Oryctolagus cuniculus: one gene and its partners. The protein of the gene in region 3 interacts with the protein of the main gene of each other region in a pairwise test. Links are inferred from orthologs where the notes say so. Each region holds a gene or a part of one and is shown on either strand. Other genes may lie near its edges. The genes, in order: L3MBTL2, MAB21L3, STAC3, ZCCHC10, C6H1orf35, PPARA and FAM133A.

Evidence for each region.
Region 1: the proteins of STAC3 (region 3) and L3MBTL2 interact in binary tests that used the Homo sapiens proteins (3 or more experiments, as listed by UniProt). The two-hybrid records come from large-scale screens. The link is inferred for Oryctolagus cuniculus from reciprocal best matches to the Homo sapiens genes STAC3 and L3MBTL2.
Region 2: the proteins of STAC3 (region 3) and MAB21L3 interact in binary tests that used the Homo sapiens proteins (3 or more experiments, as listed by UniProt). The two-hybrid records come from large-scale screens. The link is inferred for Oryctolagus cuniculus from reciprocal best matches to the Homo sapiens genes STAC3 and MAB21L3.
Region 4: the proteins of STAC3 (region 3) and ZCCHC10 interact in binary tests that used the Homo sapiens proteins (3 or more experiments, as listed by UniProt). The two-hybrid records come from large-scale screens. The link is inferred for Oryctolagus cuniculus from reciprocal best matches to the Homo sapiens genes STAC3 and ZCCHC10.
Region 5: the proteins of STAC3 (region 3) and C6H1orf35 interact in binary tests that used the Homo sapiens proteins (3 or more experiments, as listed by UniProt). The two-hybrid records come from large-scale screens. The link is inferred for Oryctolagus cuniculus from reciprocal best matches to the Homo sapiens genes STAC3 and C1orf35.
Region 6: the proteins of STAC3 (region 3) and PPARA interact in a two-hybrid assay, tested with the Homo sapiens proteins (2 studies listed by BioGRID). The two-hybrid records come from large-scale screens. The link is inferred for Oryctolagus cuniculus from reciprocal best matches to the Homo sapiens genes STAC3 and PPARA.
Region 7: the proteins of STAC3 (region 3) and FAM133A interact in binary tests that used the Homo sapiens proteins (3 or more experiments, as listed by UniProt). The two-hybrid records come from large-scale screens. The link is inferred for Oryctolagus cuniculus from reciprocal best matches to the Homo sapiens genes STAC3 and FAM133A.

What each region holds. Positions count from the first base shown.
Region 1 is NC_091442.1:117,288,850-117,292,688, forward strand, and holds part of L3MBTL2 (lethal(3)malignant brain tumor-like protein 2), read left to right. Parts: intron 1-402; coding exon 403-536; intron 537-2,753; coding exon 2,754-2,877; intron 2,878-3,572; coding exon 3,573-3,652; intron 3,653-3,839. UniProt on the Homo sapiens protein: Putative Polycomb group (PcG) protein. PcG proteins maintain the transcriptionally repressive state of genes, probably via a modification of chromatin, rendering it heritably changed in its expressibility.
Region 2 is NC_091438.1:54,356,694-54,361,176, reverse strand, and holds the start of MAB21L3 (protein mab-21-like 3), read left to right. Parts: upstream 1-1,534; 5' UTR 1,535-1,722; intron 1,723-4,483.
Region 3 is NC_091442.1:59,883,406-59,887,799, reverse strand, and holds the start of STAC3 (SH3 and cysteine-rich domain-containing protein 3), read left to right. Parts: upstream 1-1,297; 5' UTR 1,298-1,538; intron 1,539-2,167; 5' UTR 2,168-2,168; coding exon 2,169-2,231; intron 2,232-2,484; coding exon 2,485-2,752; intron 2,753-2,976; coding exon 2,977-3,074; intron 3,075-3,278; coding exon 3,279-3,351; intron 3,352-4,394. UniProt on the Homo sapiens protein: Required for normal excitation-contraction coupling in skeletal muscle and for normal muscle contraction in response to membrane depolarization. Required for normal Ca(2+) release from the sarcplasmic reticulum, which ultimately leads to muscle contraction.
Region 4 is NC_091437.1:21,523,379-21,527,937, reverse strand, and holds the start of ZCCHC10 (zinc finger CCHC domain-containing protein 10), read left to right. Parts: upstream 1-1,517; 5' UTR 1,518-1,520; coding exon 1,521-1,750; intron 1,751-4,559.
Region 5 is NC_091437.1:246,415-250,700, reverse strand, and holds the start of C6H1orf35 (multiple myeloma tumor-associated protein 2), read left to right. Parts: upstream 1-1,206; 5' UTR 1,207-1,307; coding exon 1,308-1,552; intron 1,553-1,638; coding exon 1,639-1,684; intron 1,685-1,787; coding exon 1,788-1,870; intron 1,871-1,964; coding exon 1,965-2,037; intron 2,038-2,175; coding exon 2,176-2,261; intron 2,262-2,831; coding exon 2,832-2,963; intron 2,964-3,058; coding exon 3,059-3,176; 3' UTR 3,177-4,286.
Region 6 is NC_091442.1:120,675,052-120,679,562, forward strand, and holds the start of PPARA (peroxisome proliferator-activated receptor alpha), read left to right. Parts: upstream 1-1,595; 5' UTR 1,596-1,750; intron 1,751-1,758; exon of another isoform or gene 1,759-2,113; intron 2,114-2,757; 5' UTR 2,758-2,828; exon of another isoform or gene 2,829-2,862; intron 2,863-4,511. UniProt on the Homo sapiens protein: Ligand-activated transcription factor. Key regulator of lipid metabolism. Activated by the endogenous ligand 1-palmitoyl-2-oleoyl-sn-glycerol-3-phosphocholine (16:0/18:1-GPC). Activated by oleylethanolamide, a naturally occurring lipid that regulates satiety.
Region 7 is NC_091453.1:56,372,893-56,376,427, reverse strand, and holds the end of FAM133A (protein FAM133A), read left to right. Parts: intron 1-1,740; 5' UTR 1,741-1,843; coding exon 1,844-2,593; 3' UTR 2,594-2,728; downstream 2,729-3,535.

The DNA of each region.
Region 1 (3,839 bases), about 57 Mb from region 3:
CAGCTCAGTCTCTTTACTGTATCCATGAGATAATGGAGCCACAAGGATTGAGCGACTTGGGCACTTCTACCTAATACATGTTTTTCTCTTTGACTTCTCTGTCTTGAAAACTTCCTCACTGACCTGTTTCCCCAGTTGTCTTTCTGAAGTTCCCTTAGCCCCGCTGTTACACACACAGCCCAGGGAGGCCGGGCAGCCTCGCTTAGGTGAGGTCCGTTCAGATGTGTTCAGTGTGGCCTCCGCCTCCTCCTCCTCCACCACCTCCTCCTCCTCCTCTTGTGTCAGCCTTAGTGAGGGCTGGCACTCACCTGGTTAGTGCAATGTCCCAGGTATTGAAGGCCTCATTGGGTTTGATTTGGGGCGACCGTACCAGGTGAGTCATGTGCTAAGTTCTCTTCCCAGCTGTCTGTGAGATGTGCGGTATCGTGGGCACAAGGGAAGCCTTCTTCTCCAAGACCAAGAGGTTCTGCAGCGTCTCCTGCTCCAGGAGCTATTCCTCCAACTCCAAGAAAGCCAGCATCTTGGCTAGATTACAGGTGAGAGGCAGCCGCTCGGCCCCCAGGGCCCTGGGTGCTAAAAGAGGACCAGCTGACTGGAGGCCCAGAGGACCTGGGAAGCTCCCTGTTTTGGCCGTCTGAGGTTGGACATTTCTTCTGAGAATTTGCTGTGCTCTCAAACCTCAGTAGGCAGAGGAGTCAGTTTATGGAGCTTGTTCATTAAGAGCTTGCTGTTATCCTTCCACCCCCAAGAGTCGCTCATATTCAATAAATTTAAGTGAGAGTCCTGGAGGTTCTGATCAGAGCTGGAAGCCCTGCTCTTCTCTGCACGCTTTTATAAATGCCTTGAAGGGAAGCTGGGATACAGGCGCAAGGTTCAGCAGCCACAGCGGCATCAGGAAGCCGATGCCTTGTCGCTGACTGTGTCTCATGGGTGGCCACCTGGGAAGTCTTGCCAAGCTCTTGACATTTATAGAAGTTTAGGGATGGAAACACTTGTCTTAGGCACCTGTTGTCAGACCCACAAGATGATGCAGTGTGCCGAGTGCAGGGAGGTGGAACGACTGACCCAGGGCAGCTCTGTGGAGGGAGAGCACTGGGATCTGGGCTGCAGCCTACGCTCAGCTGCCGGCCGTGGGTGTTTCCCAACGTGCACACGTGCCTCAAAGGAGACTGTGCATTCGGAACATCCGGAAAGTTTTGGTTTTTTTTTTTTTTTAAAGATTTGTTTATTTGGAAGAGTTACACAGAGAGGTAGAGACAGAGAGAGTCTTCCATTCACTGGTTCACTCTTCAAATGGCCTCAATGGCCAGAGCTGGGCCAATTAGGAGCCAGGAGTTTCTTCCAGGTCTCCCACGTGGGTGCAGGGGCCCACGCACTTGGGCCATCTCTGCTGCTTTCCCAAGGCGCATTAGCAGGGAGCAGCCAGGTCTTGAACTGGCGTCCATATAGGATGCCTGCGCTGCAGGCCGGAGCATTAACCTGCTGCACCATAGTGCCAGCCTCTAGAAAGTTTTAAAAATATGATATTTGGGGCCGGTGCCGCAGCTCACTAGGCTAATCCTCCACCTAGCAGCGCCAGCACACCGGGTTCTAGTCCCGGTCGGGGCGCCGGATTCTGTCCTGGTTGCCCCTCTTCCCGGCCAGCTCTCTGCTGTGGCCAGGGAGTGCAGTGGAGGATGGCCCAAGTGCTTGGGCCCTGCACCCCATGGGAGACCAGGAGAAGTACCTGGCTCCTGCCTTCGGATTAGCGCGGTGCACTGGCCGCAGCGTGCCAGCCGCGGCGGCCATTGGAGGGTGAACCAACAGCAAAAGGAAGACCTTTCTCTCTGTCTCTCTCTCACTGTCCACTCTACTTGTCAAAAAAAAAAAAAAAAAAGAAAAAAAAAAGATATTTGGGTCCTATACCCAAAGACTGGCTTAACAGGGAAGGAGTGTGATCTTGGCTTGGGGATTTAAAGAGCTCGCCGGTGACTCTGCCTGCCACCGTGATGCTGGTGGCAGTGCCCTGAGCTGGCTCCGGCCGGTGCCTCACTCACTGCACTGCCTTTGCTTCCCTCGTTTTGTGGGTTTTATGCAACGCATGAAAGAGAGCTCGTGATGTTACTTGGTAATAGTGACATCGGGGGACACCTGTTGAGGGCTTGGCATTCCCAGTCTAAACAACGATCCTAAAAAATTGACTTTACACAAATTCCTGTTTTAAGAGTTTAAGCATTTGAGTAAAAGATATAGAAAGCTTCAGAACCGGGGTTGGCCCCCAGTCTGTGTGGGATGTCATCCTCCATTTCTGCCTCACTGATCTGTGGTAAATTCCTGGCTTTTCTGATCAGTGCGTAAGTTACAAAGTATGCACCAGGGCCCTGGCCTTTCCCTTTGGGGGTGACCTCCTCTGAGTACCTGAGGACAGCACGGGAGCCTCCGTGGAGCACAATTACCTGTGTACGGAATGCTGCCTCGTGGAGCAGAGACTTCGTGGTGCCACCCTCCCCCACCTCACCCCCGCCCAGCCTATTCTCTGCGTGGCTCAGTAGCAGCACCAGAGTAAGGAGCTGACAGAGCTAAAGCTGTAGGGAGAGGCCCCTGCTCCGCTGACTACCCACCACCACCATCACCCTCTGAGCTAGGCCTTGTCCACGCTGTGTTTTACAAACTCAAGCCAGAAGAGGATAAGTAACTGAACAAGACCAGGCGGATCCTGACAGTGCCGATCCAGATCCTTAGCCGCCACCTCACGGCCTCTCTTTTCCCTCCAGGGGAAACCACCAACCAAGAAAGCCAAAGTGCTGCACAAGGCGGCCTGGTCTGCTAAAATCGGAGCCTTCCTGCACTCCCAGGGCACTGGACAGCTGGCCGATGGGACGCCCACAGGGCAAGACGGTAAGACAGCAGGGACAGGTTCTGAAAGTGGCTGCGGTGGTGGCCGGGACCCGGCTGGCCCTCCCTGGGAGTGGGGGCTGGGAAAGCTGGACCACTGGAAAGCCCCTGGCCCAGGCTCGCTGCCCGTCACCCTTTCCTGTGGGCTGTCCTGGAAGTTACCTCCTAAAAGCTCCTGGCTCACCCCTCAGAAGTCAGGAATTAGCTTCTTTTGTTTCTCTTATCTCTGGGGCAGTGGAGGCCCAAGTCTGGTTTGAAGGGGCGGCAGTCCGGGGTTAGGATAACAAAAGGAACCTTCTCTGTGTGTGTGTGTAGCAAACTAAGTGTAGGCCCTCGCAGCTCTGCCAAGTTGGCCTCCCCGCCAGCAGGTCTGGGCCTCACTCTGTGCTGCTCCACCCTGTTGGGTTGGATGTGGCCAAGGAGAGGCTGAGGGGTGTGAGGAATTTGAACCCAGGGACACTGGCATTTCCCTTTCCTTGGGATAAGAAGGGAGAGATACTCCTTTGTAAGTGCTCCTCTACCGAGGATTGGCGGCGTCTAGATTTGCCTGCACCCCCTGGTGGCCACTGGTGGGACAGGTCTGGGCGCACTGGGACTGCTGCGGAAGAGCGACTGCTGCTGAGCCCGCCGGCCCTCAGTGCAGTGACCACAGCGCTGCCACCGGGCTTCCAGGCGCCAATCTCCTCTCTGCTCCACAGCTCTGGTCCTGGGCTTCGACTGGGGCAAGTTCCTGAAGGATCACAGTTACAAAGCTGCTCCTGTCAGCTGCTTCAAACACGTGAGTGCCCCGGGTTGCAGAGGGAGGGCAGGGCACACAGCGGAGGCGCTGGCCTTGGTGTGCACACCGCTTCCCAAGGACGGTGCCAGGCTGGTGCGGTGCCGCAGAGCTGCAGTGCGCGCCAGGTGGAAGGAGCTCAGCCCTGTCAGCCGGCTCCATGCTCTGAGTCTGCTGCTCCTCAAAACTC
Region 2 (4,483 bases), on a different chromosome or scaffold from region 3:
TTCTGGTGAGCTCTTTCTGGAGTCCACTCTGTAGGTTTCTAATTAGTGAGGGTTCCTCTGTGTCTTTTAGGACCACTGAGATTTTTCCCTCCAGAATGAGTGGAAGAGCATGCTTGTCAATCCAGAATGTGGATTGACTGAGACCTCAAGATTCAGGCTCCCTGTGGATAGACCAAATCCAGTTTAGGATCTCAAAGAGAAGATGGCAAAATCAGCTCCATCACTCCAGGGTGCCCCTTTGGGATTGCTGTCATAATTTGCTTTGAAGAAACCATTAACCTGCCACCCCTCCCGGTACATTCAGGAGGTACCAAGGGCCTGCTGTGCGCTAGGCATTGTATTAGGCTTGGGGTTGTCACAGGCCAGTGGAGTGGCTTTCTCAAGCCTCAAGCCTTCCCAGAGTCTTTGACTTGAATGGGATGAGCAGAGAAAAAATTGGGAGAGGGGTTTGAAGTACCGCAGAGATGAAAGACCTGGGTGAAGTTAGAGAAAATCGCGGGCCAAGTCTGGCAAGCTAGCTGGTAACAGAACTGGATTTCTTTCCAGGGTGGATCTGGAAATCAGGATGCTGCTTGAGACGCCTGCATCCCGTATCAGAGTGCCTGGGTTCAAGCCCCTGCTCCGCTTCCAGCTTCCTGTAGCTGTACACCCAGGGAGATAACGAGTCATGGTTCAAGTACTTAAGTCCCTAGCCCCCATGCGGGATACCTGGATTGAGTTCCAGGATCCCCACCTTGGACCTGGCCCAACCCCGGCTGTTTGAAGGCATCTGGGGAGTGAACCCAGAGATGAAAGACCCCCCTGTGTCCTGTTTCTTTTCCTTTCTGCCTGCCTTTCAAAACACAAATACAATTTAGAAGTAGGTGTCCAGGAAGGTTTTTTTGGGAAAGGAGACCTCACGCTGAGATTTCTTCTGGGTCCAAGAATTCCAAGCCACAAAGAATTTTAACTTCTAAGCTGTCCCTCTGGCCTGTGCTTTAATTATGCTAAAACCTATTGTCTGGGGAGAGGAAGCTTCCGCTATCTGCACAGGGCACATAAACATTTCCTCTTGGGAGTACCCTCTTCCTTATCAGATCAGCCACACTGTGAAGGCCCAGAGCAAAGTAGACCTTCCCAGGAGCCACCAACTTTTCTTTCACCTTCCTCTTCACATGTAAGTGAGGCTTAGTAGCTGCTGGCTTCAGAGTAGTTCAACATATTCCCCAAAGACACTTTGAGTACCCTCGCAAGTCCTCATCTGTGTTAGGAAATGTTAACAATGCTGCCTTTAATTTTGCTGTGAGGATTACTGAGAGACGCCTGTGTGTGAAATTCGAAGTGCTACAATCAGTTGTAGCAACAGAAACCGACAGTGATTTTAAAACAAAAGGTCGTGTTTTTATTGAACTGGCCGCAGTGGCATACTTTTCCCCAAAAATGCAATTGATGGGAAACTGTTGCAAGAAAACTCAAGCTGCTTCACTTGCCAACCAATAACGTAACTGAGGAAGTATGACTTTTAAAAGAACATTTCCCTCTTCTTTATTGTCTGTGGTTTTCACTACAGACACTGCGTGTTGGCTGCCTTCCCCCAGAGGGAAGTGACTGCCCTCCCCTTTTCCCAGGAATCCGGGAGGAGACTGCAGCCTCCTGGCGGGAGCAGTGGATTATATAAAAACTGTCGCCTCTGACCCTGGCCAACAGACCTCTCTCTCCCTCTTTTGGACTCCGGTTGGAGGGGTAAGTGTTGGGGGGACAGGTAACTGGGACTGTGTGTGTGTGTGTGTTTGTATTGGGTCTGCGGCTGTACAAGGGAGCTGGAGAGAGAAAGCCAGGAGTAGTGACACGGGCTGTGTCATGCTCTGGAGAGAGGAGGATCCTTGAAAATTCCTTCTGGCCGCAGGGGTGCTCAGGAAGTGTGACCTGTCCAGAGCTTGAGCTTGTGTTTGAAGTAAGGAAACCTGAGAGCCGTGGTCCCTGCGCGAACAGGAAACAAGCTCAACCACACATCAAATATGACTCCTTAAGGTCTTGGGATTTCAAGGACAAAAGAATATTAGAGGGCTCAGTTCCATCTCGTGTGGGTTCTGTCCTGTGCCCTGTGCCCTTTCCACTTTATTCACTCCCCTAGCATCTCGACACCCTCTGCTCTGGATACCAAGTTTTAGTGCTTGTATATTATTTCCTCTTTTATGTTTATAAAAATAACATGTTCAATTTTTAAAAAAAATGTTCGATAACACAAGGCTAAATGGAAAAGAAAAATTAAATGCAATCTTGCTGTCCAGAATTAATCACTCCTAACCTTTTCTCCAAGAATGTTTTGTGATTTTTTTTTCATTTGCCTATATATAATGAACGTTTTTCAGGAATTAAGAATTTTTTTGTTTTATTTTATTTTACTTATTTGAAAGGCAGAGAGACAGAGAGTTCTCCCATTCATTGGTTCATTCACAAAATGCCCGCAACAGTCAGGGCTCTGCAAAGCTGAAGTCAGGAACCTGGAATTCACTTGGACCTCCCAACTGACTGGCAGGGGCCCAACCACTTGAACCATCCCTTGCTGCCTCCCAGGGTGCACAGTAGCAGAAGGCTTGGGTCAAGAGAGGATCCAGGACTTCCACTCAGCCACTCCAGTGTGGAGTATTGCAGGTATCCTAAGCACTGCCCCGCTTGCTAAGCCAAATGCCCACTCGTCTGTGGGTCTCTCTCTCTCTCTCTTTTTTTTTTTTTTTTTAAGATTTATTTATTTATTTATTTGAAAGACAGAATTACAGAGAGGCAGAGGCAGGGAGAGAGAGAGAGAGGTCATCCATTGACTGGTTGACTCCTTAGATGGCTGCAACGGCCGACCCGAAGCCAGGAGCCAGGAGCTTGTTCTGGGTCTCCCACAAAGGTGAAGAGGCCCAAGGACTTGGGCCATCCTCTAAAGCTTTCCCAGGCCATAGCAGAGAGCTAGATTGAAAGTGGAGCAGCCAGGACTCGAACTGGCCCCCATATGGGATGCTAGCACTGCAGGCAGTGTCTTTACCCACTACGCCACAGCACTGGCCCTTCTATGGTTCTTTTTAAGGGCCGCAAGGTCTTGCATTACATGGCTATATTATAATTTATTTAGCCAATGTCTAATTGCTAGATATTTTAGCTTAGTTTTTCCTTTTGTAAATGAGGCATACAGAAGGTTGGCATACCTCCCTTGTTTCCTTCAGATAAATTAAGATACAAACTCACTGGGTCAATGGGGATGATTTTTAAAATTTTGATGAAAATCTTCATATGAAATTATAATGTCATTGTTAATAGATGAGGGCCAGATTTCCCATAGCACCCTAAAACACTACCTTTTTCTTATCTTTGGCAGATTATCAAATTATGGGTGGAGTAGATGAGGGGGATAGCTCATTGTTAAGGCTTAATTTGCATGTTTTGGTAACTAAAGTTGTGGTCATTTTGTTTATTAGCCATTTGTATTTCTTTTATGGGTTCCTATCCCAGTTCTTGGCTCATTCTATATTTTGAAACTTTTTTCTAATTTTGAAGTTTAAAATTGTTATCTGAAGTTTTTACCACCTTTGGCTTGTGGCACTCACATACACAAATTCAGATGAATGGTTATCTCCATCTTCTGACTCTTTTTATGGTTTTAAAAAATATTTAATTTCCTTATCTTTTCCTTATCTTCTCTGAGCTCCTGAGTGTTTTCTCTCCCAGGCTTGCTCATCTTTGTCTTGTCCCCACCAATTATAAATGCCAGCTTTATCTCAGGGCCTTGAGGACCCATAGCCGGGACAGTTGTATTTCCTTAGGCAGAAGAAGGATTAGGTTGAAAGGAAATGGAAGTCAGGAGAATTCAACTTTATGAGTAGCATTTTGTCTGTTGCCCTTTTCAACAAAAGAAGAGCAACAAAACATGACAAATGTTTTGATTTATAAAGTCTGGATATGTGGACCCAGGAGTGTTTTCTGTGTTTCTTTGGTGCCCTATAAAAAATTTTATGGGAACTGTGTATTCCCTAGAAGTTGAAAAGAATCATCAGTAAACTGAGACCCATATTGTCTAAGAGGCAGTTTGGGGAACAGTTTTATAATGGTTTCTGTAGTGGTTTTGCTTAAAATATTCTTACTTTTTTTTTGAGTCAATTTTTCTAATTGATTTTCTTCTGAAATGACATCTCTTGTTGAAATGTCTGATTTTCCTTTGAAATGTCATCTCTCAACCAGATTTGAAATTGCTTAAGTATTGGTGTAGCAGAGTAATTTTTCTATATCATTCTGATTTCTGTTTTGTGTACTATTATTTTCTTTACACTTGCTTGTCTTTGAGGGTCTTTGTTGTTGTTGTTTTATTATTATTTTTAAAATCCCCAAGTAGTTGGAGTTATTATGTTCATAATGTTTTCTTACTGTTTTGCTCTGTGGTCAGAGGATATAGAATGCTTAAGGTTCTCTTCGCTGTGATGTTTCACATTTTCTTGGAACATATAGTAAAATTGTCCATCTA
Region 3 (4,394 bases):
CTCGTACCCGTCTGTCAAAGGTTCCAGAAGCCCTTCAGAGGTGGAGGACTTGGACCTTTCTTGAATCCTAAAGCCAGAGGATTGGGTTCTACCTGGCAGGAACAGAAGAGGCTGCTTTTAACAGTAAAAGCTACGCCAGCTGAACTTGAAGTGTCCAGATGTGTGTTCCCTGCCATCTGTGGTGGAAGAAGAGAGGAGCCAGGAGTACTTGGGACTTCCCACAGCTAGCCTGTGGGTACAGGGTGGTCCAGCACCTGTTTCAATCTCCCCTACCCCTCTAGGAGAGATAAAGAGCAGTGGGTGGATGTGGCAAAGTGCAACCCCTAAAATTGCTGGGGTCTGGGTGGCCCTATCTCTAGCCAGGCTCCCCCCAAGAACTTGGCTGACCCCACCTGCGACGCAGTCCTTTATTTCTTACAGATAACAAGAAATAAAGCAGCATATGATAACCCCTCTTTCGTAGTTCAGAGTATCTCTTCCTTCAATTATGCCCTGGCCCAAAGAGAAGGCGAAGGCTGTATCCCCCTGAGATGAGAATGCCAGCCAGGCCTCTGCCCTCTCACTTCACGTGCTGGGGCATCAGAGGTGGGCGACGGGACCGGGGAACCGTAGTGGTTTAGAGACTTGGCCGTCCTCCCTTCAAAAGAGTCTACAGCTCCCTCCTGAGGAAGAATGGACTTAAAAATGACAAAAACTCCCTGCAGAAGGCAGCCACAGTCTCTGGCGTCAAGTATTTCTTCCTTGTTACTGGCCCCTCCTTCCCTGGAGCCCCTCAGGTGGAAGTCTCGGCCTGTCCTTTAGTAACCCTTACAATTCCCTTTACCCTCAGGACAGGATCTTAGTGGAATGGGGGGAGTAGAGCAGTACTGTGTATTCCTCGCCTCATTCCAGGATAGCAAGGTGCCCCTGCAGCTGCCCGGTGTCAGGCAGCCTTGTGGGGTGGCTGACAGGACAGTCAAGTGGCCCATCCTAGCCTGAAGGTCTGAAGCTGGGGGCTGGAGGGCGCAGGGACTTGGAGCCACCAGGAGACAACTGCAGAGAAGAGAAGCCTGGCTCCTAGAGGAGCTCCGGGGAGGGTAGAGTTGGGGGTGATTGGGCCTTGGGGAGAGGGGTTGGGGGTCTAATTCATCTTCCCTCACTTGCAGTCATCTGCATCCCCTCAAATGGGCACACAGCGTGAACAGAAACTCCCAGCACTGGGCCTGTTCAGCTCCTGCTACATGAAGAATCAGGGAACAGCAGCTGGGGGAGGGGTGGAGTTAGGGTCCAGCCCTGCCCAGACCTCCCGTGTCCGATTTCTCTGTGTCAGCTGTGTGGCTCAGCTGTCCACTTCCCTCCAGCCCTGTCATTTCAGCTCTGACACCAAGGCAAGAGGCTAGGAGGTCTACAAATAACCGTCTGAGTGGCTGGTGTGAGTACGGACGGCACTGGGGGGGCTTAGCCCCCAAGGAAGAGGAACCAGTCCTCCCCCAGCACCACCGTCAAGGCCCCAGGGGCTCCCTCTGCCCTCCACAGCCTGACTTTAGGGAACCCCAAACGTAAGTTGCCTCTTGCTCCCCTTTCCTGCTCCAGGATTGTTCTCCCCAACTTCCCCAGTCGTAGTCTATTCAGCTTCTGTGTCCTCTCATCTGTAAGTAGTGGGGTTTTTAGGAGTGGCATTATTCTACTCCAGGATGAGTTGGGATTGGAGGTGGGGGTGGGGTTGAGGGAACAGAGTAGTAGGGAAGGAAAGGCTCATATTACTCTGAAAACTTAAAATAGCAGGCCTGAGGCAGGCTGGGACAGAAGTAGGCAGCGGGCCCCAGGAGTCCAGAAAGAGGGGAGAAGCAGTGTCTCCAGCTCATCCCTCCTTGTGGGCTCGCAGGGATGCACAGCAAACCTGCAGGGAGGGCGTGTAGAGGCACAGCCTACTGGACTGAGCAGGCTGCCTGTCAGAGTGGAAGGATGGATGGGAGGATAGCACTGGCTGGGAGGTTCTGACGTCTGCCGAGTTTCTTCTGGACCTCCATGGAATCTTGCTGCTCATAGCCCTACCATAGGGTCTCTGCGAGATTTTTCCTGAAGCCTCCCTTTCAAAGACCACCCTACCCCCCATGAGACAAGAATGAAAAGACAAGAAGAAAGGTAGTCAGGGATTAGATTTCCTATGGAGTCCAACCTCTTGCAGGATGACAGAAAAGGAGGTACCGGAGTCCCCCAAGCCCTCCCCAGCAGAGGCTGGGCAAAGTGGGGTGAGTCTGGGCCATTGACCGCTGTGTGGGGGGAGCTGGGAAGCCATTGCCGGCCAGAAGGAAAGTGCTTGATTGGTCTCTGCGTGTTGTTAGATGACTAGCCAGCACCTGTGGCTCCCCTGACCCCACCCACCCCACCCCCGGCTGCATTCCTTGCCCCAAACAAGAACAATGTGGCTAGCTGTAGCCTTAGCTACTCCAGGAGGCCAGGACAATCCTGTTAACATTGGGTTTCCTTCACTCCCTCCCTCAGCTGCAACGGCTGAAGCAGTTGTTCAGGAAGGGGTCTACAGAGACAAAGGAGATGGAGCTTCCCCCAGAACCCCAGGCCAATGGGGAGGCGGTGGGAGCTGGGGGTGGGCCCATCTACTACATCTATGAGGAAGAGGAGGAAGAAGAGGAGGAGGAGGAGGAGCCACCCCCAGAGCCTCCTAAGCTTGTCAACGATAAGCCCCACAAATTCAAAGATCATTTCTTCAAGAAGCCAAAGTTTTGTGATGTCTGTGCCCGGATGATTGTGCGTGAGTCATGAAGGGAAGCAGAGAAAGTGAGGGTGGAGGCAGGGAGTGCGGGAGAGGGTTTAGGAGAGTGATATTGGTAGCAGGTGGCCGGTGGCAAGATTTGACTTGGGAGATGGCTGTTAAGAGATTCAGAGTATAGAGTCCCAAACCAAAAAGGGAGAGGAAACTCTGGTGCAAAGAAGGGCAAGCCGGGGTCTTACACAGATGTTCTCTCCTCCCCCAAGTCAACAACAAATTTGGGCTTCGCTGTAAGAACTGCAAAACCAACATCCATGAACATTGTCAGCCCTACGTGGAGATGCAGAGATGCTTCGGCAAGATCGTGAGTAGGCTCTGGGGAGCAAGAAAGGAAAAGTGGGGGACTCGCTAGCTGTGCCCTTGCTGCTCCCCCTCAAGTCATCCCTTTCTTCTCCCTGCTTCTTCTTAGCCCTTCTCTTGCTCTGAGAAGGGGCGAGCACTCATGGGAGACATGGGTTCTGGACCCTGCACTACTGCCTCTAATACTTCCTCCCATCCCATCCTACAGCCCCCTGGTTTCCGCCGGGCCTATAGCTCCCCACTCTACAGCAACCAGCAGTACGCTTGTGTCAAAGATCTCTGTAAGTGCCCCATGTGGGACCTGAGGGAATGGGGCAAACCTCAGAGATGGTTGCATACCACCTCTAGCTTTGGAAGCCACAGTGTGAAACAGGAACATTCTATTTCCCATGACTCTCCCTCATCCTAATACAAAGGGTCTTCAAAAAGTTTGTGGAAAATGCTTGTCAGAAAAAAACTGTGGATTTTGAATATTTTTTGCACCAAAATAATTTTTTAATTGATTTTTTTTTTTTTTTTTTTTTTTTTAGGCAGAGAGAGACAGAGAGCTCCCATCCGTTGGTTCACTCTCCCAAATACCCACAATGACTAGGGTGAGCCGAGTCCAGAGCTAGTAACTCAGTTCAGGTCTCCCATGTGGAGATGCTTGAGCCGTCACTGCTGCCTCCCAGGCTCTGCATTAGCAGGAAGCCGAGTCAGGAGCTGGAGGTGGTTCTCAAACCCAGGCACTCCGATGTGGGATGCAGGCATCACAACTGCGAGGCTAACCATCCGCTTCCTAAACCTTTTAATTCTACCTTTTCATAAATGTTTGTAGTACCCTCATAAGGACTATTACAAAAGTAATAAGTACTTTTATAGCCATCTCGGTTGCAGCGTTAATATTGCCCTGTTTGAGGCAATCTTGAGAAAAATAAGATTTGCCTGGAGGGGGCCAGCACTGTGGCTCAGTGGGTTAAGCCTTTGCCTACAGTGCCAGCATCCCATATGGGCACCGGTTCAAGTCCCAGCTGCTCCACTTCCACTCCAGCTCCCTGCTAATGGCCTAGGAATACAATGGAAGATGGGCCAAGTTCTTGGCCCCTGCACCCAAGTGGGAGACCTGGAGGAAGCTCCTGGCTTCAGATTGTGGCCATTTGGAGAGTGAACTAGCAGATGGAAGCTCTGTCTCTCCCTCTTTGTGTCTGTAACTCTGCCTCTCAAATAAATAAATAAATCTTTTTTAAAGAAAAAAAATTGGCTAGAGCTATCTCCAGCTAACAGGAGATAGAGCCAAGACTGAAAATTGCATCTGCGAGTTTCAAAACCTGTGCTGTTCAGATGC
Region 4 (4,559 bases), on a different chromosome or scaffold from region 3:
GAACAGTAGGGACTCAAACTGGTTCTCCAACATGGGGTGCCGGTATGGCAGGCTGCAGTTTAGCTTGCTGTGGCACAACGCCCAATAATCCATTCTTTAAAGAACAAGCTGTACTCAAAGCTGACATCATTACCTTCTCTAACTCTCAAAATTAATCACTTTACTCCTTTATTTGGGATTCCTTTTCTTTCCTTTTTAAAAAGATTACTTGAGAGGCAGAGAAACAAAGAAGTACAGAGGAAGACAGAGACAGCCAGCCAAAGGGTAAACCTAGCCACTGGTTCACTCTAAATGCATCATAATACAGTAGAGGACATCATATTGCAAGACCAAGTAAGCACGGCAAAGAGAACTCACTTTCATAACGAAACTACTCTTTCAATAACCAAATTAATCCATTAATCTGAAAATAGATTCATTTATTCATGAGGGCAGAATCTCCGTTACCTAATCACCTACCAAATATTACTGATATATGACTTTAGGGATTAAATTTCTTTTTTTTTTTTTTTTCAGATTTATTTCTTTATTTGAAGGTCAGGGAGGCAGAAGAGACAGAGACATCTATCTGTCAGATCATTCCCTAAGTGTTTGCACCAGGCCAGGGCAGAGCTAGACAGAGGCCAGGAGCCTCCTGCCAAGAGCTGCCTCCTCTGTGGGTGCAGGGGCCCTGGCATGTGGGCCATCTTCTGCTGCTTTCCCAGGCACATTAGCAGGAAGCTGGATCAGAAGTGGAGCAGGTGGGACCTGAATCTGTGCAGATATGGGATGACGGCATTGCAGGCGGATGCTTTATTTGACACACCACAGCTCTGGCCCTGGTGGTTAAATTTGTAACACATGAATTATCGGGGGAAAACACCCTAATCATAGCAGATTTTGTTTATTATCTGTAGAAAGTTCCATGTGCCCAAGGGTCTAAACTTGAACAACACAGCATCTCAAGCTCCTAAACACTTTACTAAATAATTATTAATTGAAAAATACAAATGGGTGACCTAGAAACAGACAAGAATATATACAGCAGGATTTCAGAAAAGTTGGTGGGAAATGTACATTTTTCTTTTAATGCCATTTTCACTAACTTTTTGGAGTAATTATACATATGAAGAGTGTATATATATATATATATATATATATAGAAAAGATTGTGGACTTGGGAGAACATTTCCATGAGTCGATACTACAAATAGGTATAGCTACAATTTTCTAAAGTAATATTTGCGATGGTCTTTTTCTGGTTGCCAAAGCAGCTTTGGTCCTTATAACATTGCTGTGAATATATTAAACAATGAACAGTTAACACCATTTTCACTTGAGGATGTGCTAAACCCATTCTCTCGGATCCAGGGCCCGCTCACTATTTTATTCTCCAGACTTCTGCTTTCCGGTACACAGTAGTTTCATTCAGTATCTCTGCGTGTGGGGGATACCTATACACACGAATCTTAAAAATACATACTTTTCCTTTTCGGGAATGTGCTTCCCCGTCACCGTCCTTGCAAACCTCGCTCAGCCCCATGGACGGACCCACAGCGGCGTCCGCACGCACCCGCCTCCGGCCCTCGGCCTCCTCAGAGAGGCCGCCCGCAGGCCCCGCCCAGAAGCCGCCCGGAGGCCCCGCCCACGCCGCGGCCGCCGGGTCCAAGTCCACGCCCCCTGCGAGGAGTTTCCCAAAACTCAGCGCGGCAGGCCTCGGCCGCGCTAAGATGGCGACTCCCATGCATCGGCTCATAGCCCGGAGACAAGCGTAAGTGGGGGCCCTCTCGGGCTCCCGGACGGGCTGGGGGCGGGGAGACGCGCGTCAGCCGGCGGCTGAGCCGGCGCAGGGGTGCGCGGCTGGGCGTCGGACCCCCTCCGAGGAGCGGCCGAGGATGGCTGTTGCTCAGACACATTGCCAGCGTCCGCGGGGCTCGGCCCGGGCGATAAGTTTGGTGACCAGAGACTTGCGGGGTCGTGGAACAAGAAGGCAGCACGCGGGGGTTGGTCACTCCGTGGGTTAGGCCGTTCTGCCCGCACGGCGCGTGGGCAAGGGAAGCCGGGTCGGACCCCTCCGCTCCCGCGGAGGTAAACTGCAGCTCCCTCGGCAGCCTCCCGGCCAGCTGTCTTTCGCTGCCCCCTTCCCATCGCCGTCCCTGGACTCAACCAGCAGCTACTTCTCAGTTACTGCCGGTCTCTCCCTGAGTAAATATGTAGTCCCTGGGCTCGGCGCCAGAGCTTGGGCATAACGAAGAGGTGTTTCATTCCGATGGAGCCCCTGCTTCGGGAGCTCACGCTCCGGTGATGGGGACGGTCTCTAGTTTGGTCAGCTTTGACGGACACGAGGTTTGGTGGTGGAAAGAGGCGACATTTGATCAGAGATGGCCATGGGGAGAAAGCAGCCGGTCCTGAGACGATGTGTGGAAAGAACATCCAGACAGTGGCAAAACTGCTTGGAGGCCAGAAAGAATTTACTTCTCAAGAGCAGAAAGATGGCCAGTGTGCCTAAGGAGCTAGCAGGACAGCGGCGCCAGAGGTTTGCCGTGAGCCGACAATGCAGGGGTCATCTCGGAGGCCCTTTTCCTGCAAAACCTTCTTTCCTACCAACACATCTGCTACTTCTTCATTCTCAGTGTTTCACACCATCATCGTTTTGCACACCTATAGTGCATAGCTCAGAGTCCATTAACGTATATATGTTTATGTTTTTTATGTTTCTCCCTTTTCAGGCCCGATGAGAGTTCCCTGAATATGATAAAGACTCAGGGAGTCAGAGTAGTCAGCTTGGTGGTGAAAGGAGGCTCAGTGCTAACTGATGTCATTAGGTCTCCGTCTCTGCCTCTCTGCTTCTGCCTCTGTTGCTCAGGTTTGCTTTCCTGGATGTTGGCTCCAGACTGGAACAGACTCTGTTTTCTTCCTAATGCAGTATGCCAGGGTCCCTTATATCCTCTCAGCTTGGAGCTGGCTGCACTTCAGTGACCTGACTGCCTTGGCACACCTGTGGGATTTTGAAGTTACAATTGACTCAGAGGTCTCCTCTCCCAGCCTAGTGGAATGGATGACCATGAATGGATGATCTGGGTGGACGGGTCAAAGGTAGATGAATGCTGACTAATCAAAATCCGTAGTAGTGCTCATTCACAAGTATCAGAAAGTTAAATGTTTTCTTTGTATAGTGTGTGTGTTTGGTCCATGAGGTACATTGGAAGTAAAAGGCAGATCAGAGCTCGAGCAGCTTGTGGTCTTGTTGGGAAGAGGTATAATATAAGTTGTTGTGGTGTACAGATTGTAATACCCCCAGGGATTCAGGAAAGGAAGATTATTTTGAGGTTAGGGACGTGCAAAAGAATTTTAGGGATGTATTTGGGGGAGAGGAGAGGAGTCTTTGCTTTTCATTTTATTTTCATATTATGTTAGTCAAAAAATGTTAATTTTGTTTATAAGGAGCATATATGACTTTTATAATAATATGTTTAAAATTGTATTTAAGTTATGAGAACTGAGAAAGGTCTGTTGTCATTCTTTTTTTTTTTTTTTTCCTTTAAAGATTTATTTATTTGAAAGGCAGAGAGATCTTGGGGGAGACAGAGAGAGAGGTCTTCTGTCCTCTGGTTCACTCCCCAAGAGGCCACAATACCTGGAGCTGGGCCTATCCAAAGCCAGGAGCCAGGAGCTTCTTGAAGAACCAGGTCTCTGATGTGGGTGCAGGGTGCTAAGCACTTGAGCCATCCTCTACTTCAGAAGAGCAGCCAGGACACAAACCGGTGCCCATGTGGGATGCCAGCATCACAGGTGGAGGCTTATTTTGAAAGCATAAATTAGCAATCTATATGAAAGATGAATTTTTTAAAAAGATTTATTTTTATTTGTTTGAAATACAGAGTTACAGAGAGAGGTAGAGATGAAGAGAGAGAGAGTCTTTGATCTGCTGGTTCACTCTCCAAATGGCTGCATTGGCTGGAGCTGAGCCGATCCGAAGCCAGGAGCCAGGAGCCTCCTCTGGGTCTCCCACAAGGGTGCAGAGATCCAAGGACTTGGGCCATCTTCCACTGCTTTCCCAAGGCCATAGCAGAGAGCTGGATCAGAAGCGTAGCAGCCAGGACTAGAACCGGTGCCCATATGGGATGCTGGTGCTTGAGGCCGGGGCTTTAACCCACTGCACCACAGCACCAGCCCCGAAAGATTAATTTTTTTTTTAAGACATTAATTTGTTTATTTGAAAGGCAGAATTAGAGAGAGGAATCTTCCATCTTCTGATTAACTTCCCAGATGGCTGTAAAAGCTGGGCCATGCTAAAGCCAGGAGCTAAAAACTTTCAAGTCTGGCCATGTTGGTGGTAGGAGCCCAGCTACTTGGACCACCTTCCACTGCTTTTTTGGTCGCATTAGCAGGGAGCTGAATTGGAAGTGAGCAACTGGGGCTCAAACCAAAACTCATCTGAGATGCCCACATCACAGGTGGTGGCTTAACATGCTACATCACAAAACTGGCCCCAAAATTAGTATTTTAGAGGTAGTTTATTAGTGTTTAGAGCATAAAAATAAAATATTAATTATAGATGTACTTTGGATATGTGTGAA
Region 5 (4,286 bases), on a different chromosome or scaffold from region 3:
GCACACACTTAAACGAGTTTATGGGGCCAGCACTGTGGTTAAGCACAGGTTAAGCCTCTGCCTGTGACAGCAACATTCCATATGGCTATCGGTTCGAGTCCCAGCTGCTCCTCTTCAGTCCAACTCTGCTGCGGCCTACGAGAGCAGTGGAAGATGGCTCAAGTGCTCGGGCCCTTGCACCCACGTGGGAGACCCTGAAGAAACTCCTGGCTCCTGATCCGCGCAGCTCCAGCCGTTGTGGACATTTGGGGAGTGAACCAGTGGATGGAAGACCTCTTTGTGTCTCCCTCTGTCTGTAACGCTGCCTCTCAAATAAATAAATAAATAAATCTCTTAATTTTTTATGTGATAGAACGGGGCGGAGCGGAGGGCGACAGAGAGAGAAAGCAGGAGCCCTCCATCTGCTGGTTCACTCCCCCAAACACCCGCAGCAGCCGGGGCGGGGCGGCAGCCGCAAGCGGGTGCCCCGCGCCGCGGCCAGCAGCGAGCTGGCGGGAGCGCGGCGCCAGGCCGAGCAGTCGCCGGGCTGCTCACAGCCCGCTGGCCTGCCACCTGACCCTGTCTGGGGGCTAGGGGTCTGCGGGCCCCCAGACGCTGCTGGAACGCCTCGTGCAGAATGGCTGCGAGGCCGGCCTCCGCTTCAACTTAGCTGAGCCCCCTACGGGGAATCAGGCTGTCTCCGAGAGACCCCTGCTATTGGCATGCAGTATGTGGAACCCGGTCCAATGGGCACCCCCACAGAAAGACCCAACGAAGACAGCAAAGCCTTAAAACCGTGTGCACTTCCCGAAAGCCTTGCAAAACGGGAAGCAAACTTCCCACTTCTTTGCAAGCTGTTCCAGCTTATTTCCATACTAAGCTGAGGAAAAGAACCCACCAAACTCGCTCCGGTAACCGCTGTCCCCTCCCGCGACGCCCAGCGGCTGCGGGGAGAGCGCGGCCTGGGGGGCAGGGGCCCTCGCCGGAGCCGCACCCGGAACCTGGTCCTCCTGGGTCTGTATCGCAGCGATCGGCGGGGACTTCAGGCAGCGGCCCCGCGCCCACCCGGGCTCCACAGCCCCTCCAGCGCCCGCTCGGCGACGGGGCACTGCGCAGGCGCGGGGGCCCAGTCGGGCGGTGCCTGCGTCGGTGCTCGCTGCGAGGTGGGTGGTGGTGCGCAGGCGCGCGGGGCCGGGCCGGGGCGTGACGCGCTGGCAGGTGCGACGCCCCGGGGCCCGGCGCAGGCGTGACGTCGCGGCGCGGCTAGGCGCGGCGACAGGCCAGAAGCCGGCGACAGTCATCGGGGCCCGTGCGGCGGCACTGTAGCCATGTTCGGGTCCAGCCGCGGCGGGGTGCGCGGCGGGCAGGACCAGTTCAACTGGGAGGACGTGAAGACCGACAAGCAGCGGGAGAACTACCTGGGCAACTCGCTGATGGCGCCGGTGGGCCGCTGGCAGAAGGGCCGCGACCTCACCTGGTACGCCAAGGGCCGGGAGCCGCGCGCAGGACCCAGCCGCGAGGAGGAGCTGGCGGCCGTGCGGGAGGCGGAGCGCGAGGCGCTGCTGGCCGCGCTGTGAGTGTCCCCGGGGGCGGCGGAGGGCGCGGGCGGAGGGCGCGGGCGGTCGACGGCGCCCTGACGGTGCCCCGGCCCTCTCGCAGAGGCTACAAGAACGTGAAGAAGCAGCCCACCGGCCTGAGCAAAGAGGTAACCGCAGGCGGGGGCTGAGCTGGGGGCCGAAACGGGGGTCGCGGGGGCGGGGGCCGGGCGGCGCCGGGCCCTCTCTCCCGGCCCTGTGCGCACCCCGCAGGACTTCGTGGAGATCTGCAAGCGGGAAGCCGGCGACCCGGAGGAGAAGGGCGTGGATCGGCTGCTGGGGCTGGGCAGCGCCAGGTGCGGCAGTCCCGGGGAGGAGGAGCCGGGTGCCCAGCGGGGAGCAGGGTCCGGGCGGTGATCCAGGGGCGTCCTCACCTCCGTGTCCCCGCAGTGGCTCCGCGGGCCGAGTGGCGCTGTCCCGGGAGGACAAAGAGGCTGCCAAGCTGGGGCTGTCGGTGTTCACGGTAACCTCTTTGCCCCAGCCCGAACGCGCTGGGGTCCTCGGGGCGGCGGGGGGGGGGGATGGGGGACGCCCAGGGCGGGTCTCCCCGAGGCGTGGGGTCAACCTGCGCGCCCTCGCCAAAGCGCCGCTTCCCCCGCAGCACCACCGCGTGGAGAATGGCGGGCGGGGGACCTCGCCGGCCTCAGCCAGGAGGAAACCGCGCGCCGAGGACAAGGCGGAGCCTGAGTAAGGGGCATTCGTGAGCCGGAGTTCCAGGGGTGTGTGTGTGTAGTAGGGGCGGGGGTGCAGCTCGGGATTTCTTCCCACAGACGTGTGCTCAGAGACGGCACCCACGAAAGGGCCAGGATTGGTTGGCCTTGAGCCCCTCTTTGGGCTGCCCTCGGCGGGCGAGCAGGGCCGGTCTCCATCTCCAGGCTGAATGTGCCTGCCGAGAGGGGTTGGGGTCAGGACAGCTGCTGAGCTGGGGTGAGGCGCAGGCAATGGCGCCTGGCCCTGGCTAGCTTGGGGGGAGGCAGAGCTGAGTCACTGCTGGATCTGCTGGGGAGTTTTTCTGCCACAGTGAGGGTGCGGCTGCTGGCCACACGTGACCGCCCAGCACTTTGAGATGTGGTCTGTTTGGCTGAGGGGCTGACCAGGACCAAGCATGAAGAGGCCGCTACGTTGGTGGCTGCCGCCCTGGACAGCACAAGCGTGTCCATCTTCCTCCCCTGGCCGGGACAGAACTGGCCGCCTGTGCTTGCTGTCTCCTGTCTCCCGAGGGCTGGGGCTGAGGCCCTTTCTGCACCCCCCTTGCAGCTCTGAGAGCCACAGGAAAAGCAAGAAAGAGAAGAAGAGAAAGAAAAAGAAGAAACACAAGAAACAAAAGAAGAAAGACAAGGAGCACAGGAGAGGGGCCACTTCCTCTTCCTCGTCCCCATCCCCTGCTCGGTAGGGCAGCCCAGGGGGAGGGGGACTGGAGCTGGGCTAGATGGGCAGCTGCCGCACGCTGGGTCCTTTCTGAGTGACCATCCCTGTCTGCCCAGGCCTGAACCCCGCCAGCGTGACTGCAACTCCCCCTGCTGCAAGAAGAGGCGGTGTGACAGCAGGGACAGTGGGAGGAGCCCTTCCCGCCAGCGGCACGCCAGAGACTCTGATGCCTGAGACCCTGCCTTGGAGGCCTGTGCAGGTCCCGGGGGCACCCCCCTCAGGGTGCCCTTCCTGTCCAGGTCGAGGCAGAGGGACCCTAGCCTTGCCTGCTGGGCTTCAGGAGCAGGGGCCTGTTTTGTGAACTTCCTCCAGGTCCCAGTGAAGGGAGACTGCGAGCCCAGGGTGTCCCTGTGGCCCTGCCTCAGCCCCCGGCCCTCCCAGCACAGGGGAGCCTGTATTCCAGGACAGGTCTCTTCTCTGTCCTGTCTCCCTCTGCAGCCTCCCCAGGCCGGCCCTCCCGAGGCTGTAGCTATGGCTGAGTGTGGCTACTTCTATTTTTCTTTACATCAGTTTTGTACTTCAGTTTATATTAAAAGCAGAGTGTATCATCACAGAATGGAAGGTGGCCCCAGCACCTGTCCTTCCTGTCCAGGGCCCTGGTGACCGCTAACACCCTAAGGGAGCCCCTCGTGCTCCCACGTGGCCAGGGTAGAACCGTGGGAGGACCCCCCCAGAGGGACGACAGTGTCGGGGCAGCTTGGGAGTGGGGGGCCTGCAGGGAGCCAAAGGCCCCCAGGGCCCACCTGCCTGCCTGCTCACCTGTGGAGGTGCTGTTGGGCAGGACTGCTTCTGGGGACATGAAGGTGCTGGCACTTGTAGGTGTGGACAGACAGCCCAGCCTGTGCTCCCGTGTGTGTGCTTGTGCACACAGGAAACCTTTCCTGTGAGGATGGGGTTAAGATCCAGACCACACCCCTAACCCTCTGCAGGTCCTCACCCTGCAGGTGGCCAGCCAGAGCTGAGACTGTGCTCAGGTGAAGGCAGGCAGGGACACCTGGCCAGGGCGGTGGCCCACAGAGGGCAAGGTATCAGAGGAGCTGAGGGAGGCTCCATGCTGTTTTCTGCCTGGGGGTGGGGGCTGCAGGCAGGAACAGCTGGCAGCCTCTGTCCCAGGTGGTGGGGTTAAACGCAGGACAGACCTGACCTGAGCTAGGCTGGGCTGCAGAGCACCACGTGAAGCCTACATACAGCACCATTTCCTGGGTCACTCGGCCCCTCCCCAGGGGACAGACTGGTGGTTGAGGCACTGAAACACTGGAGAGCCAGGGAATAGTTAAGAGATTT
Region 6 (4,511 bases), about 61 Mb from region 3:
CTGGGAAGGCAGTGAAGATGGCCCAACTGCTTGGGCTCCTGCACCCATGTGGGAGACCCGGAGAAAGCCCCCGACTCCTGGCTTCGGCCCAGCCTCTGATGTTGCGGCCATTTAGGGAGTCAACCAGTGGATGGAAGATATCTATCTTGAGCTCTCTGCAACTCTTTCAAATAAATAAAATAAATCTTAATAAGAGAAGTGACATCTCCCAACGCATGGTTCACAAACAAGTTTTCTCTCCTAAAGCTTTGGGAACCCCGAGAACCCAAGAATATCACTTTCTACATCTGTGGAGTGCGCACCTGGGAGATTGAAGCCCGTATGTCCTTTGCAGGCATCCATAATTCTTGCCAGGTCTCTCCCACCACTTGGTGGCACTGGGTGCAGGGCGACCACCAGGACACACACACACACACACACACACCCCTGTCTTGAGACTCTGCGCCCTGGGGTGAGCCAGGAAACACCCACGCGGCCAGGATGTGGCCCACCGAGGGCAGGAAGCCCACCTGCTGCTGGGTAACCAACACAGCTTGGGTCCACCGGGGAGCTACCAGGGTCTGTGTTCAGCCCGGCTCTGGAAGGCGCACAGACTGGCATTTGCTGGCCGGCGTGCGCAGGTAGAGTTGGGCAGGCCCGATCGAGCGTGGGTGTCCAGGGGGTGGGGCAGAGTTCACAGCAGTCCCAGCTAACCGACAGGAGTGACTTTCCAAGAAGCTTGCGAAATGGCCCCAAGGCCAGGGTCTGCAGCCCCTGCGCGGCGCGGTGACCTGGGTGGAAGCCGCGCCCGCTCACTTACGAGGTCACCCCGGGAGCCCGCCGCCGCGGCGCTGGGCGGACATTGCACAAGTTTCGTTCCCGCGGCAAGGGGCGCCGGGCGCTGCGCACCCGGAGCGGCTCTGCGCGCTGTCCCCTCAGCCTCGCCACTGGCTGCGGGGCCGCGACCTCCCAGTGCGCTGGCAGGGCCCGCGCGCCTCGCTGGGCACAAAGTCCTCTCTCACCCCCAGGGAACCGGCAGCCGGGGCGGGGGTCGGAGCTGGCGGCGCCTCCCCGCCCTGTCCCCGTTGCCCTTCACACTCGTGCCCACGGCCTGGCACCTCCGCCACCTGCTGACGCGTCCTGGGGCTCTCGGAACGCCCTTCCCCGTCCTCCCGCCCCGCACCCCACGGACTCCCGAGACCCTAGGCACCGGTCCCCGGGCCCTGGCCAAGACCCCCTCGTCGCGCCGTGCGGAGCCGAGTTCCGCGAGCGCTCAGGGCCTCGCCAGCGCGGCACGGGCGCCCGGCGGGACCCTCGCCTCCCCTTCCCCGCCCCCCACGCCAGCCATCCGCGGGGCGACCTTGGGCAGTCCCTTTGCCTCCCGGGCCTCAGTTTCCCCCAGCTCCGCGGCTGCGGGGCGCGCAGTGGGAGTCGCGAGGGCTGTCCCGGCCCCGCCCCCGCCGGCGGCCAATCGGGCGCCGCCGTCCGGTGGGTGCGTCCCGCGCGGGGCCGCGGCCGGGGCCCGGGGCGGGGCTTCCGGGTCGGTCCCGCGCGGCCGGACCGGGCGGGGCGCGCCGAGGGGCGGCGCGTGGCGCGGGCGGGGCGCGGCTGGCACGGGCGGGCGGAGGCGGCGCCGGGCAGGGCCGGGACGCGGCGGCCCCACGGCGCGGGCAAGGGGCGGCGGGGCGGAGGCGGCCGCTAGCGCCCGGCCTGGCGCCGCCTCCCTCGGCGCTCGCCCCGCGGACCAGCAGGCGGCGGACCGCGGGCCCAGGTGCCGGGGGTGGGCGGCGCGAGCGGGGTCCGCGGCGCGGGCCGGGCCGGGCCTCTGCTGCCCCGGGCCGAGAGGGCGGCGGACGCGGACGGGAGGGGCCGGGCGGCGCATGCGCATGGCCCGGGGGCGCGGGGCGAGGGCACTCGCCGGGGACCCGAGTAGGGTCCCGGGACCAGGGGCCGCTCTCGCTCGGTGCCCCTCCAAGCGCCCGAGGCTGTCGGCGGAGCCGGAGACCTCCTGACGCTGGGTCCTTCGGTGTCCCCTGGGAGGCCAGGCCCGCGGCGGGGACGTCGGTGCGCTGTGGAGTTCGAGTGTCACAGAGCTGGGGGCGTTTTCGAGACCCCCAGGGACCCCCGAGGCTAGGTAACTCGTGTCCCGGACAGACTCTCGGCGCCGGTGCGCGCCGTCCTGCAGCCCGACGGGGACACGCGCGCGCGGTTGCTGTCGCGCGCCTGGGCCCCTGTGCGCCGGGCGCCGTGGGCAGCCGCGGGTTCCCCGGCAGGTTCCGCTGGGCTGCGAGGTGTCTTTCCTGTCCCCGGCCTCCCGCGGCTCCTCGGGACCGGTCCGGCCTGGCCCGCTGGAGCGGGTGCAAGGTTGGGAAGGGGGGGTCGGCTCTACCCAGCGCCCACCCTGGTTGGTGGGGGGACCATGGCACGCCCCCACGTTACCCAAACCCCTGTTTAAAAAAAAGTTGAAGAGATGTGCCCCAAATGTCAGGGTTCTTTCTAAGAAAACTCCAGGACTGGGCAGTAGGTGGAGCGCTCTCGGCCGGCTGGGTCTGCACAGGCACCGCGACCCCTGCCACCCCCATTCCCAAGGGAATCAGGGCGCCCCCCGCCCCGCCCCCGCTCGCAGGGCTGCTGGCTGGTAGGGAGGAGGAGCACGGGGCTTCACTGAGAACGACCCTGGGCGAAGGCAGGGTCACCGTGACTTTCCCCTTGCAAGGGCCGGAGGCTGGGGGGCATCCAGGGAACACATTGTAACCGTCTCGTCCTGTCCCTCCTCAGCCAGGGCTGGAGTCCCGGGCCCTGCCTCTGGGAGAAGTGACAAGCTCAGAAGCAAGGCGGTGTCACCGAAGGTAAACAGAGTTTGATTTCAGTCTCCAGGGTGAGGTATGGAAGGGTCTGTTTCCACTGCAGTAAGTTTGGGGGTTAATGGTTTCTTTGTGATGCAAAGCTTTCATGTCTTTTCCCTGTGTCCCAGGAGACCCCGGGATAGGTTTGCTTCTGGGTTCTGAGTTGGGGAGTTCTGATGTGGGTTTGGCTGGCTGCTTTCCTGTGATTCATAGGGAGATGCGGTGACTCTGAGAAGCAGTGCTACTCAGCGGGCGCTGGGGAAGGGCTGTTGTCGTGTGGGGAGACTGCAGGTGACCTGGGGGTCGGGGTCAGCTCCAGAGCCGCAGGCCCGGTGTGGGAGGGTGTGCGTGGTCGCTGCCCACCCGCAGCGGTCTCCAGGACTGGGAGCAGAAGCACGGGAACTGACGGTGGAGGAGGAGGTTTTCTGTTTGCTCAAGTCTGACACGCCTGACCAAGGTCCACCAGCATCATAAAGCAGCCCCTTGCGTGCGTGCGTGTGAGAGACAAGGTGTGAGAGACAAGGAGAAACTGTGTTTCTTGGCAAATACTTTGTGGCTGCTTCATCCCCGGACGCAGCTTCCAGGTGAATGAAATGCGCCTGCATTTGTCTAATACTCCATTACATTTAGATACAATAATTATTTAGCCGGTCCCTGTAGAGACAAGGCTACTTCAGAAAGTTTGTGGAAAGCCGAAACTGAGAAGATGTGAAACGTGTGCGTGGTTTGCTCATAATGGGCATTTTCCACGCACTCTTGGAAAGCCTTTCATATGCACAGATTTCAGACTTTTCTTTTTGTAAAGTGAACTTTTAATTCCGCTTTCCACAGACTTTTAAAATCGGCTCATCATATAGCTACTTCCGGAGTGGCTGCTGTGGGCTACTGTGCCCAGTGTTGAACGAGACCCCCGCGGACCTCTGGTGAAACTGGGTTCCATACTAGAGTATAGACAAAAGCTCACAGATTGTCACCCTTGGTCAGGGTGAGGGGCAGGTGGGCAGGGAGGGGACATTTTGGCAGGGCTGCTTTGTGCGTTGGGTTGGCGGTTGGTGACCTGGGCCCTTTCTCTTGCCTGCTGCCCGTAAGCGCCTGTGTTTTATATATATGTATATGTATACGTGTGTGTGTATACATACATATATATATACATGGATTTATAATAATCCTTTTAAAAACACATTAATCACAATGTTTCTTTGTTGAAAACAAAGTTTGAACATGCCAATTTTTCTCTTTTGCCTTTCATAGACTGTGTGTGAGTGGGGAAATTCTTCATGGCAAATGGGATGCGTGGCTTCGCTTCCAGGTGGCTGGGGTCTTAGCTTCACGGCATGCTAAGGGTGTGGCCCTGCAGTTAGTGCAAGTGGCCTGAGGCTGCTCTCTTGGAATGTGAGGGTCTCTGTTGCGCTTTCTGGTTTCCGTGGCTTGGGATGGAGTCAGTGTTTCACAAGGCATGGCATCTGTCCCTTCAGCCTTATTAGTTACGTAGGGGAGCGAGGTCACCTTGCAGGCCGCGTGGCTGGGGAAACCCCAGCTCAGAATCTGATTTTCCAGTTTGGTGAGAGGAAGGCTTGAAGTGAGGACTAAGTAGCAGAGGTGGCGGATCGGAAAGAACTTGTCTCCTCCACGTGTCAGAGTCGTTGGCCTGCCCTGAGCTGCGCCGTGCGCTGGATAATCCAGTCT
Region 7 (3,535 bases), on a different chromosome or scaffold from region 3:
ATGGGTCAAACATGGTCTTTTACCTTCGTTGAGCTTACATTTACCAGTGAATACACACACAAATATATACACAGACACATAATCAAATAAAATCATTACCAATTTAATAAGTGCTATGAATAAAAAATGAGGAACTAGAGTACAGAAAGATCAGGATGAGTGGCAGACAGAAAATCAGCCTACTTTAGTATCAGGTTGAGCCGTATGAATTTGTTGGTATTTGAACTATTTGTCTCCTTTAAAATTGACCAGTTTATATATAGCTCAACAGTAGCCCTTCTGAAGAATTGACATTTAAGCTGAGATCTGAAGAATGAGGTTGAATTGACCATGTTGGTTAAGCTTGGCATTCAGCTTATTCCAAGAATCAAGAGAAGATAAGGCGATGGAATTGAGAAAAGGGGTGAGTGACTATAAATGAAAGTAGGAGAGAGAAACAGAGCAGATAATATGGGATGTATAAAGGAGTTTTGATTAATGTTCCTTAAGATGTAAAGCAGCTGGAGTGTTTTAATATCCTCTGATTGTAATGTGGGACTAGAATAGAAGGAAGTACAGGCAGAAATAGGACTACCAATTCAGAGGTTGATATAATGAAGAGATATAATAATGTTGTGTTATGTGTTTAGGGTTTGGAATCAAGCTGCCTTGGTTTAAACTTGGTTCCACCATTTATTAGTCCTTTTAATTTATGCAAGTTACACTTGAATAGAGATAATAATAAGATCAATGTTATAGGTTTTTTTAAATGTTTATTTATTTTCATCTAGTGAGAGAAAGGAAGAGAGAGGCAGACAGGCAGAGATAGAGTCCTTCCATCTGCTGTTTCACTCCCCAAATGCCTGCAACAAGGCTGGGTCAGGCCAATACCAGAAGCCAGGAATTCCATCTGGATTTTTCACATGGGTAACATAGACTCAATTATTTGAGTCATCCATTTCTGCCTCCCAGTATACATTAGCAGGAAGCTCAGTGACAAACAGGCTAGCCTGTACTGGAACCAGCTATCTGATAGGGAATGCAGCATTCCAAGCAATAGCTTACCCTTTGCAGAACAGTGGCCACTCCTTGTATGTTTTATTCTAGGAATTGAACAAGAATAATTCATTGCAAAGAACTGAATGCTTCCTGACAGATAATAAACACTTTAGATATTAGAGATTAATAGTTCAAGTGAGAGATGATAATACCCTTGACTATGTACATGACAATATATTTGGAGAAAAGTGAATGGACATGAGACACACTGTGGAAATTTAAACAGGAGAATTAGTAATGGATTAGATGTGAGAGTTGAAGGGAAAAATATTTTTAAGATTTTGACTACCAAAAGGAGTAGAGTAGATTGTTTTGCACTTTCCCAAGCTGGAGAATGTCCTCCTGGTACAGATTTTAGCTCTATAATTTTTTAGATATATCATATTAGGCAATAATGAAATGAAAATTGGTAAATATCATATGATATAAAAATAAATACTTATTAAACATATTACATACTTGCCAGAGCCCTACAGGAGGTAAATAAGACATTTTAAGTTAGTGTTATGTTCATACCACAGTACGTATAATATGGAACAATCTTAAAGTATGTGTGTTTATAAATCTTAAATGTTTGTTCCCAAAGCATAAGATTTTGGAAATCTCTGCTGTACTATATTATAGGCAGTGATAATTAAGCTTATGTGTTTATTTTGTCTTATGTTAAAGTAGTTGTGTAACCATTCCATCTTTCTTTCACAGAATGGAGCCTGCTTGGTATACCAGCAGATAAAGAGAATAAGGAGAGTGTCTATCCTTATTCTGCTTTGCAACTGATAAGCTACTCTGGGAACCATAAGGCATCATGGGGAAGCGAGATAATCGAGTGGCCTATATGAATCCTATAGCCATGGCCAGATGGAGAGGCCCAACTCAATCTGCAGGCCCAACAATACAAGATTATTTGAATCGGCCAAGGCCCACCTGGGAAGAAGTAAAGAAACAATTGGAAAATAAAAAGAAAGGTTCCAAGGCATTAGCTGAATTTGAAGAAAAAATGAATGAAAATTGGAAGAAAGAACTTGAGAAAAGCAGAGAGAAATTGTTGAGTGGAAATGAGAACTCATCCAAAAAAAGAGAAAAAAAGAAAAAGAAAAAGAGGAAATCTTGTCAATCTTCGTCCTCTCCTTCATCAAGCTCTGATTCTTCAAACAGTTGTTCAGAATCTGAGGATGAGGAAAAGAAACAAGGAAAAAAGAGAAAGAAAAAGAAGAGCCGTTCATACAAATCATCAGAAAGCTCTATGTGTGAATCAGAATCAGAGAGCAAAGAATCTGTGAAAAAGAAAAAGAAGTCAAAGGATGAAACAGAGAAAGAAAAGTATATTAGAAACCTCAGCAAAAAAAGAAAGAAGACTCATCCTGAGGATAAACCTTTGTCATCTGAGGCCTCATCAGAATCAGATTATGAAGAGGAAGTGCAAGCAAAAAAGAAGAGAAAACATGAAGAGCAAGAAAAAGCAATGGAAAAAGTAAAGAAAAAGAAGAAGAAACAGCACAAGAAACACAGTAAGAAGAAAAAAAAGAAGTCTGGTTCAAGTCATAAATCAGGATGACATCAAGAAAAAAAGTAAGATTTCCTTTAAAAAAAAGTCTAAAGGAAATTTCAACTGTGAAAATTAGGGCATAGTTACCAACACGCATGAGTTTCCCTGTGTTAGTAGAGTTGTTCCTGGACTCAAATGCCAGTAAAAAGCCACTGTGCCAGAAAGGGCCATAATTGTTGCCTGCAGCTTAAATATAGGATTTTGTTTGTTTCTTTGTCTTTCTTTCCAGTGGTTAATTCCTCTGGAAGGTAAAAACTCTGTTGTCATGTTAGTGGATAAAATGTTTGGAATTAAAATAAAATGTTTTAGATAATGGATTGTTTTGACCAAAAAAAATTGATTCTAAGGTTAAATGTATCTAATTTTTTTTGCAGACATCTTCAAAATATATTCAGACAACTGTAGTTCACATTTCTGAAGCAAAGACTTAATATTGATATATCAAAATCCTTACTGTTATAGATGTTCAGTTTATTTTACTTTTTTCCTTAAAAAAAACTTTTGTTTACATGGGGAAAGGGCTTGGGGGGTAGGGAGTGTTTGCTAATTACTTTGGCTAGCTGAATAGTGTGCCTTGGATCCTTGCACATTCTATTTTTGCCAGTGCAGCAGCCATCCATTCTTTATTCAATGAAATTCTGGGATGTTATTGTGTGCTGCTTTATGAACAACAAAGATAACAATTTACAAGCATGAGTAAGCCCCCATATTTCTGAAATTTACCTCCACTTCAGCACTGTTCTCTGTGCAGTACTGAATAATATTTAGTATTAGCATATTACATGATTTGAATTAACTTTGATAACATTTTCAAGGGGAATCATTTTAAATAGTCCCTGGTATTTTTTGATTAATAAAGATTCTGAAATTTTTTTGCACATTTTATATGGTTTTAATTTTCCAGCAATATTCTTTGTAACTAGTAATCCCTTTTTAATATAATTTATGCTT